3 linked regions of the Oryza sativa Japonica Group genome follow. Each later gene encodes a partner of the first gene's protein in a complex. Links are inferred from orthologs where the notes say so. Each region holds a gene or a part of one and is shown in the gene's direction. Other genes may lie near its edges.

Region 1 (4,188 bases):
CTGCTCTTGTGCTTTTCTAACACATCCTTTGTCATCTTTTAGAAATTAGACAATAGCTGATGGATTTTGTCACTTCTTACATGTAGTTCTCTTTTCATACGCTTAAAATAAGTTGAGCATGCTTACCACATGAATATTTTTATGCTTGCATTTACAATGGTTGCTCCATTGTAAATACCCTCTTCTGCTAGGAAGTTTCTCTGATTCATGTTATTGTGTAATATTTAGGGCTGAAAGCTTGTATGGAGGCTAAAGAACCAGTCCCAGAAGAGCCTTATGAGATCAGTTCTGATGTTCATGGCTCCTTTGATGGCCCTCGCATGGGAAGACTACGAGCAATGCAAAATGTGTGTATAAATTCACTGAGTAAATAAGTCAAAGTACAAGTTCAATCTTCATGGAGTATTGATCCCATGTGTTTCTTGTTTTCTAGGCACCACATCTGTTTGCAGGATTGACCTTTTACTTCAGTGGCCATTTCATGCCCAATTACAAGGTTCACCTTGAAGATTTGATCACTGCAGCTGGGGGATCAATCTTGGACAAGGCTGATCTCTCTAGCACATCCTTGATAATTTACAGCATGGAGCCACCACAAGGAAGTGATCCTGATACCCTTAATGAGGTCATCAGAAAGAGGAAGGCTGAGGCTGAAGAATTGGCGGCAACGATTGGCTCCAGGGCTGTTCCTCATACATGTGTTCTGGATTCTATTGCATCATGCACAGTGCAATTGACCATGTGATGCTGTATCTTAGGTTAGGAGTTAGGATGTTACTGATATGTTCTTGAGTGAAAATATCTTCTAGATGTTGTAAGTTGTAACGTGAGCAAGCAATTTAATTCAAATAATATTGATATGTCTCTTTCCATTTTCTTGTCGGTGTCGTCATTTCATATGTTTCACCTACCGGCTACCGCCGGGCGCAGTTGGTCTAATATTTATTTTGCAAAAAAGGTGAGCCTTGCAGGCAGGGTTACTCCCAAATCTGCTTGAGTTGATTGGGGAAACACCTACTTGCCGTTCTTTTTCTTTTTACCAAAAAAACAAAAAAAAACTTCTTGGCGGATTTGAATCACATCAGTGCTTCGGTGCTACTAGTATTCAAGAGTTCCTCTGTTCAGCTATGGAGTTTAATTATTCACTGCTACAGGGATGATGGGCAAAGGCGTCAAATGATTGTGGAGTGCATTTGAAACAAAGCAAGGAATTGAAATGGCTGAGCTCAGCTGGTTGCTTCAGATGTTTACCAACAACAGTAGAGGTCCCCTTCAGGCTTTCAAGTCTCACCAGTCAGACGGTCACCGGTGTCCCCTTGCTGCTGTTGGTGTCCCATGATTTTGTTCTTTTCACCAGACCCTCGTCCTCGTGCAGTGATGTAGAAGCACTTCTGCATCTTCTCTTCTCCCACCACTAGGCCCCTCTATAATAAGGAGCCAGCAATTGATGCTATGCGGTAACAGTGCTAGCTCCATGGCGTTCTTCAGCAGCGGATCGCGGGCGCTGGTGGAAATCCTGACGGGATTGCAGAGGTGCGTTGCTGTTGGTTAATCTTTCCTTCTCTTTCTTTGCCAGTGAAAGCGGAAATCTTTTTTCGATAATTGAATTCAATCCAGTCTCTACATTGAGGTGAAAGCAGAAAAGTTGTCTGTGTGCAAAGGTTGGCTGCCTGAGTTGTGCCGCTCCTACATACATACATGGATTGGTTGACGCAATGTGATCAGAAAACTATGTTTCTCTTGATCTTTGCAGTGTTGAACGACCTATGCCTGTTGATCATACCTTGTTTGAGTTTGGATCAATCCGTTACCATTTACAGGTAATTTTGCTCCAAACACCTTTGATGCATTATCTTGCAATTTGAAACAAATAATGTAGGGCATGGAAAATGATCATATAATACGCATCAAGTATCAACCAAACAGAACATCTCGGCACTTACAATTTGCATAATTGTTCAGGCTTCTATTACAGATTCAGAGAACATATACTTGTCAATATCAACACCATCTCTTTCTTATGAGGCTTCGCCATCCAGCGGCTTGCCTGAAATCACATTACAGGAGACAAGGAAAATGTATCACAAGTTTGCAGAGATCATCGAGCCTGCAAAAGAAGGATACACTTTGACACTGAGACTGAACTTCTCTGGCCTTACTCGACCGAAAGGTATGAGCATCCTCAGTCCTCACACCCTGTTTCAGTTGCTGTATTTGGTGATAGAAATATTAGCCAAGGCAACTGCAGGTCTGCAGCAAACAAGGATTCGATGTAAGAACGATTGCTCTTTATGCAGATCGCACCAAGGCGATCAACCAGATATCGTTGCTGCAATCCGTCATCCTTAGCTCGCAGCTCAAGGACATGCTGGCGAGCCTCGGCTCGTCCGGCACGATGAAGCTCGTGTACAACCAAAGGGACCCTTTCTTCGTCAGCAAAACGGTACTATCCTAAGCTACGCAGATTAACAAAAGCTTCACAGGTAGAGCAAAGCATCAGCACGGCTCGCTGACGATGCGGTTCTTGGCCTGCCTGCAGCCGGTGAAGATAAGCGCCATATTCCCCATGCGTTTCAGGGACGACACGGACCTGGCCATCGCGTCGTCGTTCTTCCAGGTTGGGCCGGCGCCTTCTGTACGTACTTTTTTGAGTTTTCTGGTTAGCTCCGAGACCTGAAGAAAAAAAACGACAGGAGCTACAGGACCTCGGGAGCACGTCGTCCTTCTCCAGGGCGCCGCGGTGCAGCTGGTCGCCGATCCCGCCACCCGAGCTGCGCGGGGAGTACGTGCACCACCTCACCACCAACGGTGGCTTCGTGTCCTTCGGTACGTAGCAGTAGCACATATCGCACGCGGCATCCGCGTCCGCTCGCTCGCTTGCCCCGCACCGCACCAACCACGCATATTCTCCGTTTCGCCCCCACGCGGCCACGCCACGGCACCGTGCCGACGCGCGCGTTTTGTGTGCGCCCGCACCGCGCGATCGCGAGAGGCCGGCCTCCGTTCCGCGGCGTCGGTGGCGACTACCGACGCGGCCCTCGCGAAACGAAACCCGCGCGAGCGGGTGCGCGGGGCAAAGTAGCCGATCCGGACGGACGAGGCCGCGGTGCCCGCGGCTTGGGCCGGCGCTTCTTGGGTTGGGTTGGGTTGGGTACACTTCGACTTTGGACTTTTGGAGGGTTGACGCGTGCGGGTTTGGAATTTGCAGACATCCTGGCGCGGCACGTGAAGGGGAGGAGGGCGGCTAGGACGGCGTGGATCCTGCTCAATTTCCAGTCCTACGTGAAATACCATATCAAGGTAGGATGCGGCATCGCACGCTGGTTTTGTGTGCTACTACATGATTATATCGGCGTTTTAAATTTACTGGGAATGGTGTGGTTTTACTGACGGCGAGAAAGTTCGTGTGCGCAGTGCACCCGAAGCTACATCCAGAGCAGGATGAGAAAGCGTCTGGAGATCATGACAGAGGTAACAACTCCATACCATTTAAAAGAAACATTGGGTATCGAAGGAGTGGCAATTGCTTTAAACCGGGCTCGCTGTGCTTCAGGTGATCGATGACGCGAAGTTCAGAGGAAACGATGAGAGCAGCAAGAAGCTGCAAGGTATTAGTACCTGGATACTGCAAGCTCTCGATACTGGCTCACTGGCTGACCGATCTTATGCTCGCGAACTCTGATGTCGCAGTGAGGAAGAGAAGCAAGAGAAGATCAATCAAATTCGCGAGAGCCAAAAAGCTCCAAAAGGGTTTCAAAGCTGTCATCGACAAGATCAAGCGGCTGCGGCTGAGGATCAGAGTGAAAGGCCTGGACCGGTTCAGGAGGCACTGCCAGTGCTTCCCAGTGCTCAAACTGACCATGGCACAGAGGAAGGAGCAGAAGTACCAGAAGCTGGAGTGAATCCTAATCAACTTTACGACTAATCACTTTTTTTTTTCACAGCACAGGCACAAGCGTGGTGATACATGCATGCTGACTCTTATCCTTTTTCCATACTGATCAAGTATACAAATCTGGTGAGTGATGAACATCCATTCAGATGGAGGGCACTACCATAGAAAAAGGCTAACAGGAGGACAGACAGTACACGGTTATTTAAAAACCGTTACATATATCTAAAAAATATCATAGACGACTATATTAGGAATTGTCTATGATAAAAAGCATCTAGTGTGTTTTTTTTCTT
Region 2 (4,190 bases), on another chromosome or scaffold:
GTATGCATGACAAGAGGGAGAGGAAAAAAAGATGGCTCATGGAGTGCAACTAGAGGGTGCAGTTGCGCATGCAAAGACAGAGAGGAGAAACGATGGTGGCTCATAAAGAAAGAGTGGTGGTGGCGGTGCGTGGAGTAATAGTTAGTGGTTACTGGTAGTATGAAGAGTTTGTTGTCGACTCAAATCGCTAACTGAGTTTGTTAATTTTTAGAATGTGGACCACTAGTCATTATAAAGAAATAGTCATTATAAAGAAATAGCTAGTCTTATAAAGTAGTAAAATATTGAGATATCATAAAGGTGAGAGTACTCGTCTAGAGCTTTTAACTTTTTACCATTTTTAAAATATGGTAATTAAGAATTTACTACTCACAATCTATAATACGTGGATCCTTATGTGTATATGACACGAGAATGCTCCTTCTCGGTCGCGCGAGGGGAGGGGAAAAAATCGGTCGCTCCACCCTTCCCCCATCACGTGCGCACCAGCAATCTCTTTGGGCCCCCACCACATGTCCCCTGTCCCCACCTGCCACTTGTCCACACACACAACTCTATTGCAACAAATCACCCACATATTTTGAAAACCCTATATTAAGGGAATTTGGTTTACTTTTTGTTCCACCAAAAAAGTTTCACGTAGTGTACTCATAATGTTTCACTATGTATAGATCTAATGTTGCAGTGAACTAAAATATTCCATTGCAACAAAAAAACCCACATATTTTGGAAACCCCCTATTAAGGGAATTTGATTTATTCTTTGTTCCACCGAAAAATGTTTCACCTAGTGTACTTATAATGTTTCACTATATATGGATCAAAAGTTGCAGTGAACTGAAACATTCTTTCACTATTTGCTGAAACATTGTTTTTATATAAGGTAAAACAACACCCAATTGAAACGAGTGAAATATTTTCGATCTACTTAGTAAAACAATTCCGATATACCTGGTGGAACATCGTGCAACATTTAAAAATAATTCAATAATAAGGTAAATTTTTTTTCGTCGAAATATATGCCTGTGTGGCCTTGTTTTGAAGATTTAATTGCAGCGAATTTAATGATGCAATCGGATTATGATATGGATAAGTAATTTAAGAGAAAAATCAGTTTAAAATAGTTTTTCACGTAAAGCGTCCGATTTTTCTCCAAACCGATCAGACGCACGATCCGTAGACTCGTCCGTCCGTATATACATGTGGGACCAGCGGTAAATTCTTAATAATTCCCAATAGTAAGAGTCTGAGCGTCTTCCCCTTCCCTTTGTGGCGTAAAAGAAAGAAAAGAAAATCTCCCGTCTCTTTGTCTCCTCCGCTCCTTGCGCCGCCGAGACGAGTCGCGGCTGAACAGGGGAGGGGCGGCGATCTCCATCGGGGCGAGCAGAGCAGGGGAGAGGATTCATGGTGAGCATCCGCATCCTCTTTCTGATTCATCTCTCTCTCTCCCATCGGGACTACTTTTGTCTGGAATTTGCTTGCGTTCGTTCGTTCGTTCGTTAACCCTAGCTTCTCTTCTAGATCTGGAAGAAGCTCTTCCCTTAATTTCAGAGCCTTAACCTTAATACAAGTAACAGTTTGTTTATTCCCCGAGAAGTTTGAACCCCCATGTCCCAAGTTGGATCCGCTCCTGTACATAATATTGGCAGCTTGTGGCACTCTTGAATGGAGGTCTTGGAAGATACTTTAGTACCTGTTCTATTAGATTGGTGTGTTATAGGCCCTGTGTGGAATACAAGAATTTTGCTCGGTTTTCACCTTTAATTTTCCTTGTATTTCCACCTTGTTTTGTTAGATCGCTGTTGCTCACTTGCTTGCAATGTACCGTTATCTGAACATCATATGCTTTTTTTCTACTTGTGGACAGGTTTATCACTCTAGCTTTGTTGATGACACCGGGATTACCAAAGCATGCGGCTGTCCTTTGCTTCCACTAAAAACTCATATAAGGGGCCCAGCGCCAGCATTCGATCAAGGTATACTGACACGGTGACAACATAAAATACATTGTGATATACTTCCGTGGTTTCACTCTGACAGAACCATGCCAAGCTGCTGATTTATGTCGTGCTATTACAGACAAGGCTGACATTGTTGATGAAGCAATTACATTCTTCCGAGCAAATGTCTTCTTCAAAAACTTCAATGTGAAAAGCCCAGCAGACAAGTTACTGATCTATCTGACATTTTACATCAATATTGCCCTGAAAAGGCTGGAAGGTTGCCGAACACTGGCTGTTGGGACAAAGGCAATCATTAATCTGGGTTTGGAGAAAGTTCCTGTGCCTGGGGAACCAGGGTTTCCCTTCCCTGGTCTTTTCACTCTACCCCAATCTCAGGAGGAAGCAGGTATATGACTTCATCCGCCACTACCACATTTGTGTGCTTGTATTCTCTTTTACTCCCTCCGGGTTGATAATACTTGTCGTTTTGGACAAGAGCACGCTTTCCAAAAAACAACTTTGGCCATTATTTTTAATTATAATATGTATAAAGGTGTTAACAAATATATGATTTTATTAAAGTACTTTTTAAGACTAATCTATACATGTAGTCACCATATTTTAAAAATGATTCATAATCAAAGATTCTAAAATTTGACCTCACCCTTGTCTAAAACGATAAGTATTATCAGTCCGAAGGGAGTAGTTTCTCAACTGTGTGAAATCATTGTTGCTTTTTATTCCTAGAGAAAAGCTTGCCTTATTTCTCGAATAGTTAGTTTTTCTTCTTTTCCCCCAATTGTTTATCCATGCTGCTTTTCTTCTATACCATACTATTTGTCCTGGCTAGGGAAAAAACAAAAGAATGAAGCCTATTGGAAATTTAGCTTTTGTGAGATTACAAGGGGACCTTTCCAAACTACAGCAATTTATGTCTTAGATACTTTTATTTTGGATTTAACTAAATCTGTAGTGAACTCCTTATTTGATGTCCTGTATATATGTTTTTTTTTTGTCAATTTCTATGGTCTAAACTATAAGTCTGCTCTGGGTATAGAAGCAATAAGTTGCTTACTGACTATTGACAACTGTTTTTAGGAACATCCAAGTTGTAATTGCATCAGTTTTTTTTTTACTTCTAGGGACTAAATAAAACAGTAACTTTCCATCTCTCATGGAATGTGATCTCAATTAAGCATTTCTCTGTTGGATTCAGAACTATTGAGGAATTATCTGAAGCAGATAAGGGAGGAAACAAGTGGAAGGTTGCTTAACTGCGCATACAGAGCTAATGGTACTCCAAACAAATGGTGGTTGGCTTTTGCAAAGAGGAAATTCATGAACATTGTCATTCTTTGAAGTATAGGTATTTTCCGCGACATGTTTGAGCAATTGAGCAGCTTGTAGGAATGGTAATTGCACTTGCGTACTTATTTCTGCGAATACTTTAGAGAATTAAAGGAACGACAATGATTCTACACCTCGATTGATGGAGCCAAAGGTTCTAATGAAACAATGGATAGAATGTCAACAATTTGTTTATTGCAATGGATGAACACAAGGACACCTTTCAGCTGTTATGTTGAATTTCTATTTTTCATTTTTATTGTACTCCGTCCGTGCCCTTAAATTGGGCATGTATTTTTCAGATGATGTTTGAATAGCGAATGTTCCGTGTAGGACATTTGTACAGATTTAATCAGGTGTAATGAGAATGTGAATATATATTTTCCTGATCCCTCTTTTTTGTATCATTCGTGTTAATCCTTTATCTGTTTTTTTTTCAATATGATTATAAGATATGGAGAAACCTGGACGTGCGCTTCCCTGATCTTGCCAAACGTTGGGAGTAAACTGCTGCTTATAAACACCTCAAGTGTGAATTGGCATGGTTAATTTCATTATTCGATGAAGCATTCTTTGATACAAGGTGCTTATAAACGATTTGAATGCAAAGCCCATTGCATCACTGAGACCTGAGGTGATATTCAAGCTCTATGGCTTGTCAGTCACCATGTCATTCGACACAAAGGATATCTAATGCCAGGTGTTCATACATAGATTCAGAAAAACAAAATATCATTCGACACAAAGGATATCTAATGCCAGGTATTCATACATAGGTTCAGAAAAGCATTATTGACCACCAACGCAACGCCCAACAGAACTGTTACATTGTGTAAATCCTCTTCGACAAAAAAAAAAGAAAAAAGAAAAAAAAAGGAGAGAGAGAGAGAGAGAGAGAGAG
Region 3 (4,410 bases), on another chromosome or scaffold:
AAATTGCTAATCGTTATTTTAGTATTTTGAAGTTAAATTAAAAAAAAATAAATTGAGAGTAGTTTTTATAGATCTCCAGGATTTGCCGGCCCATCCTTCGAAGATGCTCATAGGGGTAGGGTTTGCGTGCACGCATTCATAGGGGTGAGTGTGCATGCGTTGTGAGTGTCTGTGTTGTACCGTGTAATTCTTAAAAAAAAAATCGTGTTAAGAACTTAAGAGCAAAAAGTTTTGCAATCATATAAAGATGACATCATTCTAGACAATAAGGTTAAACTATTGAATTGTATCATATGTGAAATACGTTGGTTTTTTTAAGTTATAGAAAGTTGCTAATCGTTATTTTAGTATTCTGAAGTTAAATTAAAAATAAAATTGAGAGTAGGTCTTATAACCTGTAGCTAAATTTTATCGTGTTAAGAACTTAACAACAAAAGTTTCCCAATCGTAATAAGATAGCATCATTTTAGACAATAAGGTTAAATTATTGAATTGTGTGAACTATAGTTATAACTAATATAATTTGAAGACGTCTAGCAATATTTGAGAAGAAAAAGACGAATAAGTAAAATGCAGGCTTACATTAATATACTCGCTCAATCTTTACAAATACTTTTAATCACTATATCTACTACATATAAAATTATTACATTCTCCATTTATTGAATCAAATAATACTATTAGCAAATCAAACCAGCTCAGGCTTTGGTCGTTGGTAAAAAACGTTTTTTTACTAGTCTGGCTTCGGCTTCCTGACCAGCGGTAGCGCTAGCTTGGTGAGTATCTGTCCCTTCAATTGAGGACAAATTTAACTATTAGGTGGCAACCCTCTAAACGCCCGATTAGTGCCTCTCTCTCCCTCTTCATCTCACCATACTACCCCCTTCATGCTGGTCGTCTCAATCTTATAGCCACCTCGCTAGCCGTTGTAGATTGGTAGCCACCCTACCAATTGCCGGAAGCCTCCCTGTTACCATGCCTGCTCATTGTTGGAGGAGCTCTAGCACAAGGTAAGCGTTGAGGCCAAATAACTCGCCAGGCGATAAGAGGAAGTTTGGTGCAGGAGGAGTCCCCACTTAGAAGTGGAGGTATTTTTTTAATAACAATGGGTCTCCAAGGACAACAGTTGTGAAGAGAGACCTAGGCGGCAGAGGAACTAGAGGGCGTAGGGTTCCCCAGGTTAGGATGTGACGTCAAGCTCGTCGCCACCCAAGTTCCAAGATGCACACCTTGTCTTTGTCGAGCTCAAGCGGTCACCTCATCGTCAGGGTTGACGCCCTCCTTCATGTTAGAGCTAGTTTGACAACTAGCGGGTACAACGATAGGGACTTTGCTATGATTAAGGTGGCTGTTAGGCTTTAACAGCTAGCGAAGAAATGAAATATAAAGAAATTGCTAACCTTGCTATGCTAGCGGGCCATGTAGATAAAAGTATAACAAACCACCTTTATTGGATGATAATTTTGTGAAGACAAAATTAAAAGGAGGCATTTAGCTCCCTCTATCAAAATCCTCTTGCTTAAGATCGGAGAGACGTGGTCGCTGACACGTGGGCCCGATGGCAATGGGCTCCACGTGTCAGTGAGACAAATGACTACTCTCCCAACCCCGTCCCCGTCCCTCCCCTACTCTCTCGCCTTCTGTTCCTCCCCCTCTCCCTTCCAACTTCCCAAGCGCGCGCGGGGAGACGATCGGCGACGGCGACGGCGAGGCGGAATGGACAGCGGGAACGTGGTGGTGTGCGACAACGGCACCGGGGTAAGCCCGCCCTCCCCCCCTCCTCCCGCAGCCTGATCCCTGATCCAGCGTGGCGACCTCCCTCCCTCCCTCTCTACCTCCACGCTCCTGCCCCTAGATCTGCACCCCCTCCGTCCCGGTTCTTCTTCTTGGACGGTTTCTTGGATTTCTTCTGAAATTTCCTGAATATATACGATAGGATTGTTTCTCTCTCTTTGGTTGGGGAGTAATTAGCATCTGTGCTCTAGATTCATTTGTGCCGAATAAGTTTTGCTGCTTACTACTGAGCTGTAATTAATCTAGGATGAAATGATACGTGTGCACATTGCAAGAAATTGAAGGGGGAAATTGCTCTAGTATGGTGGAATTATTGTTCTCCACATAGGCAGGAAAAATTGCTGTAATACGATGAGATTATTGTTCTCTGTTGAATCTTTAGATAATGTCCTTCCAAATGCGGAACTGGAATAGATAATGTTCATTCATATAAACCACATTAGTTTGATATTTTGCGGTCCAAAAGAAATTATGCTGTTGTCTTTGGCTTAGTTTCTGTTAAGTATTTTCCACATCATTCCTGTGGCTTGATGTTCGATATGCTTAAAGCCTTAAACAACAGCAGAACATATCATATTCATAGGTGATCTTGTTAATTTCTAATTCGGTACCTAATGGCTAATGTTGCAGTATGTAAAGTGTGGCTTTGCGGGAGAGAACTTCCCTACATCTGTGTTCCCTTGTGTTGTTGGGCGACCATTGCTCCGTTATGAGGAGTCACTCCAGGAGCAGGAATTGACGGTCTGAAATCAATGTCTATCTTTGTGTTTCTGGCATTCCCTCATTCTGTCTCTCTCTCAGTACACCTTATAATTGTGATTGTGTTCCACGCAGGATATTGTGGTTGGAGCGGCTTGTGCTGACTTGAGGCATCAACTTGACGTATCATATCCTGTTACAAATGGGATTGTTCAAAGTTGGGATGATATGGGCCATATATGGGATCATGCATTTTACAGTGAGCTGAAAGTATGACTTTTCATATGATTTATATTACTTTAACATCAGACCCTTTTAAATTTATATGCTCATAATTCATCAACATTCTCCGTTATGTGTCTTGAAATCTCTTAGCTCTAGGTAAATCAATGTATTTCTATTTTGTTTCTTTAGGTTGATCCTTCTGAGTGTAAAATTCTACTGACAGATCCACCACTCAATCCTGTGAAAAATCGTGAAAAAATGGTAGGTTGTTTTCTCCCATCTGGCTGTTCTGTACTATGAAATTTGTTTTTTAAGATATCACTAACTAGCAAATTGAATCCTACGATAAATAGATTGAGACAATGTTTGAGAAATACAACTTTGCTGGGGTATTCATCCAGGTCCAAGCTGTTCTTTCGCTATATGCTCAAGGTACTCTCTCTCTCTCTCTCCCCTTCCCCCCCTCTCAGTATACAGACACATGTATGAGCTTGCACACCTACAAACACAAAATGTACTGGTTCTTTTCTTAACATGTATTATGTTTGTATCCTTTCCAGGTTTGCTGACTGGACTTGTCATAGACTCTGGTGATGGTGTCACTCATGTGGTATGATAATAATAGTCTTCCCTATATTGTACAATCTACAAAGATTTGAAATGCAGAGATTCCATTTCTGTTAATCTTGTGGTGCACTACAAAAATATCTATCTGATGCATGTTTATAATTTTCTACTGTGCTAATGGGTATTCCTCAACTCAACAACTAAGAGGATCTACCTTTTTTTGTTGATCCAGTGAAGATGTATGACCAAGACTATATGCATACCTTGTTTCCTTGTAGGCGGCTTAGTAGAAATCACAGCCATTGAACACCATAATCTATGATTTCTGGTCAAAATGTCGATCATGGAAATAAAATGATAATTTAAACTATACTCCATAGTCCATAGTTAGTATGGCATGCTAGTGCCCGTTTAGTTATTCTCGCACATAGCCAGTTAACATTGTAAGGTTATCACCAACGTGTGTAGTAAGTAGTAAGCACAAAAAGTTAAGCAATTGAATACTGACTATTGTCAATTTGCAATGTGAAAGAAAGTTTTATCTAGATTTACTTTTGCCCGTCATGTTTATTATGATCCAGGTGCCGGTAGTTGATGGATTCTCTTACCCACATATTACAAAAAGAATGAATGTAGCTGGAAGGCACATAACATCTTATCTTGTTGATCTACTCTCAAGAAGAGGGTAATACTCTTTATCATTTTTATATGTTTGTAGATAAAAGATGCTCTGAAAACACAGGCTTATGCAATTGTTTGCTTCAGTGTTTTTCTTATCAACTTAATTTCGTGCTTTAAAGGTATGCTATGAACAAATCTGCCGACTTTGAAACAGTCCGGGAAATAAAAGAGAAACTATGTTATTTAAGGTCAGTTGCTTTATTGTTCTTAATTGTTTTCGCTATAGCTTGCTGTCACATTTCATAGAATTGAAAAGGGAAAATATGTACAGCTATGATTACAAGCGTGAATACCAGCTAGGACTTGAAACCACTATCCTTGTCAAAAGCTACACTGTAAGTATGTTAACCTGCTTTGTTTCTATTTGGTCCCTTTTTGTATTATTGGCTGAACTTTTGTCATCAGCTTCCAGATGGAAGGGTAATCAAAGTGGGCACTGAACGG

What was found.
Region 2: actin-related protein 2/3 complex subunit 2B (region 1) and actin-related protein 2/3 complex subunit 3 share a complex: the UniProt entries of both Arabidopsis thaliana proteins name them as parts of the arp2/3 complex. The link is inferred for Oryza sativa Japonica Group from reciprocal best matches to the Arabidopsis thaliana genes arpc2b and ARPC3.
Region 3: actin-related protein 2/3 complex subunit 2B (region 1) and actin-related protein 2 share a complex: the UniProt entries of both Arabidopsis thaliana proteins name them as parts of the arp2/3 complex. The link is inferred for Oryza sativa Japonica Group from reciprocal best matches to the Arabidopsis thaliana genes arpc2b and ARP2.

Annotation. Positions count from the first base shown.
Region 1 is NC_089038.1:26,109,196-26,113,383, reverse strand, and holds the start of actin-related protein 2/3 complex subunit 2B, read left to right. Parts: upstream 1-1,336; 5' UTR 1,337-1,447; coding exon 1,448-1,533; exon of another isoform or gene 1,534-1,617; coding exon of another isoform or gene 1,618-1,661; intron 1,662-1,753; coding exon 1,754-1,820; intron 1,821-1,962; coding exon 1,963-2,170; intron 2,171-2,297; coding exon 2,298-2,443; intron 2,444-2,539; coding exon 2,540-2,617; intron 2,618-2,693; coding exon 2,694-2,826; intron 2,827-3,208; coding exon 3,209-3,300; intron 3,301-3,414; coding exon 3,415-3,471; intron 3,472-3,553; coding exon 3,554-3,608; intron 3,609-3,690; coding exon 3,691-3,902; 3' UTR 3,903-4,188. Other genes in the region: BRCA1-associated RING domain protein 1, read left to right, coding at 229-347, 434-745. UniProt on the Arabidopsis thaliana protein: Functions as actin-binding component of the Arp2/3 complex which is involved in regulation of actin polymerization and together with an activating nucleation-promoting factor (NPF) mediates the formation of branched actin networks.
Region 2 is NC_089036.1:7,667,543-7,671,732, forward strand, and holds actin-related protein 2/3 complex subunit 3, read left to right. Parts: upstream 1-1,268; 5' UTR 1,269-1,403; coding exon 1,404-1,406; intron 1,407-1,866; coding exon 1,867-1,975; intron 1,976-2,078; coding exon 2,079-2,348; intron 2,349-3,084; coding exon of another isoform or gene 3,085-3,095; exon of another isoform or gene 3,096-3,158; coding exon 3,159-3,301; 3' UTR 3,302-3,693; downstream 3,694-4,190. UniProt on the Arabidopsis thaliana protein: Functions as a component of the Arp2/3 complex which is involved in regulation of actin polymerization and together with an activating nucleation-promoting factor (NPF) mediates the formation of branched actin networks.
Region 3 is NC_089042.1:17,335,645-17,340,054, reverse strand, and holds the start of actin-related protein 2, read left to right. Parts: upstream 1-1,603; 5' UTR 1,604-1,716; coding exon 1,717-1,758; intron 1,759-2,424; coding exon 2,425-2,535; intron 2,536-2,628; coding exon 2,629-2,763; intron 2,764-2,907; coding exon 2,908-2,979; intron 2,980-3,071; coding exon 3,072-3,150; intron 3,151-3,278; coding exon 3,279-3,328; intron 3,329-3,866; coding exon 3,867-3,970; intron 3,971-4,085; coding exon 4,086-4,154; intron 4,155-4,237; coding exon 4,238-4,301; intron 4,302-4,371; coding exon 4,372-4,410. UniProt on the Arabidopsis thaliana protein: Functions as ATP-binding component of the Arp2/3 complex which is involved in regulation of actin polymerization and together with an activating nucleation-promoting factor (NPF) mediates the formation of branched actin networks.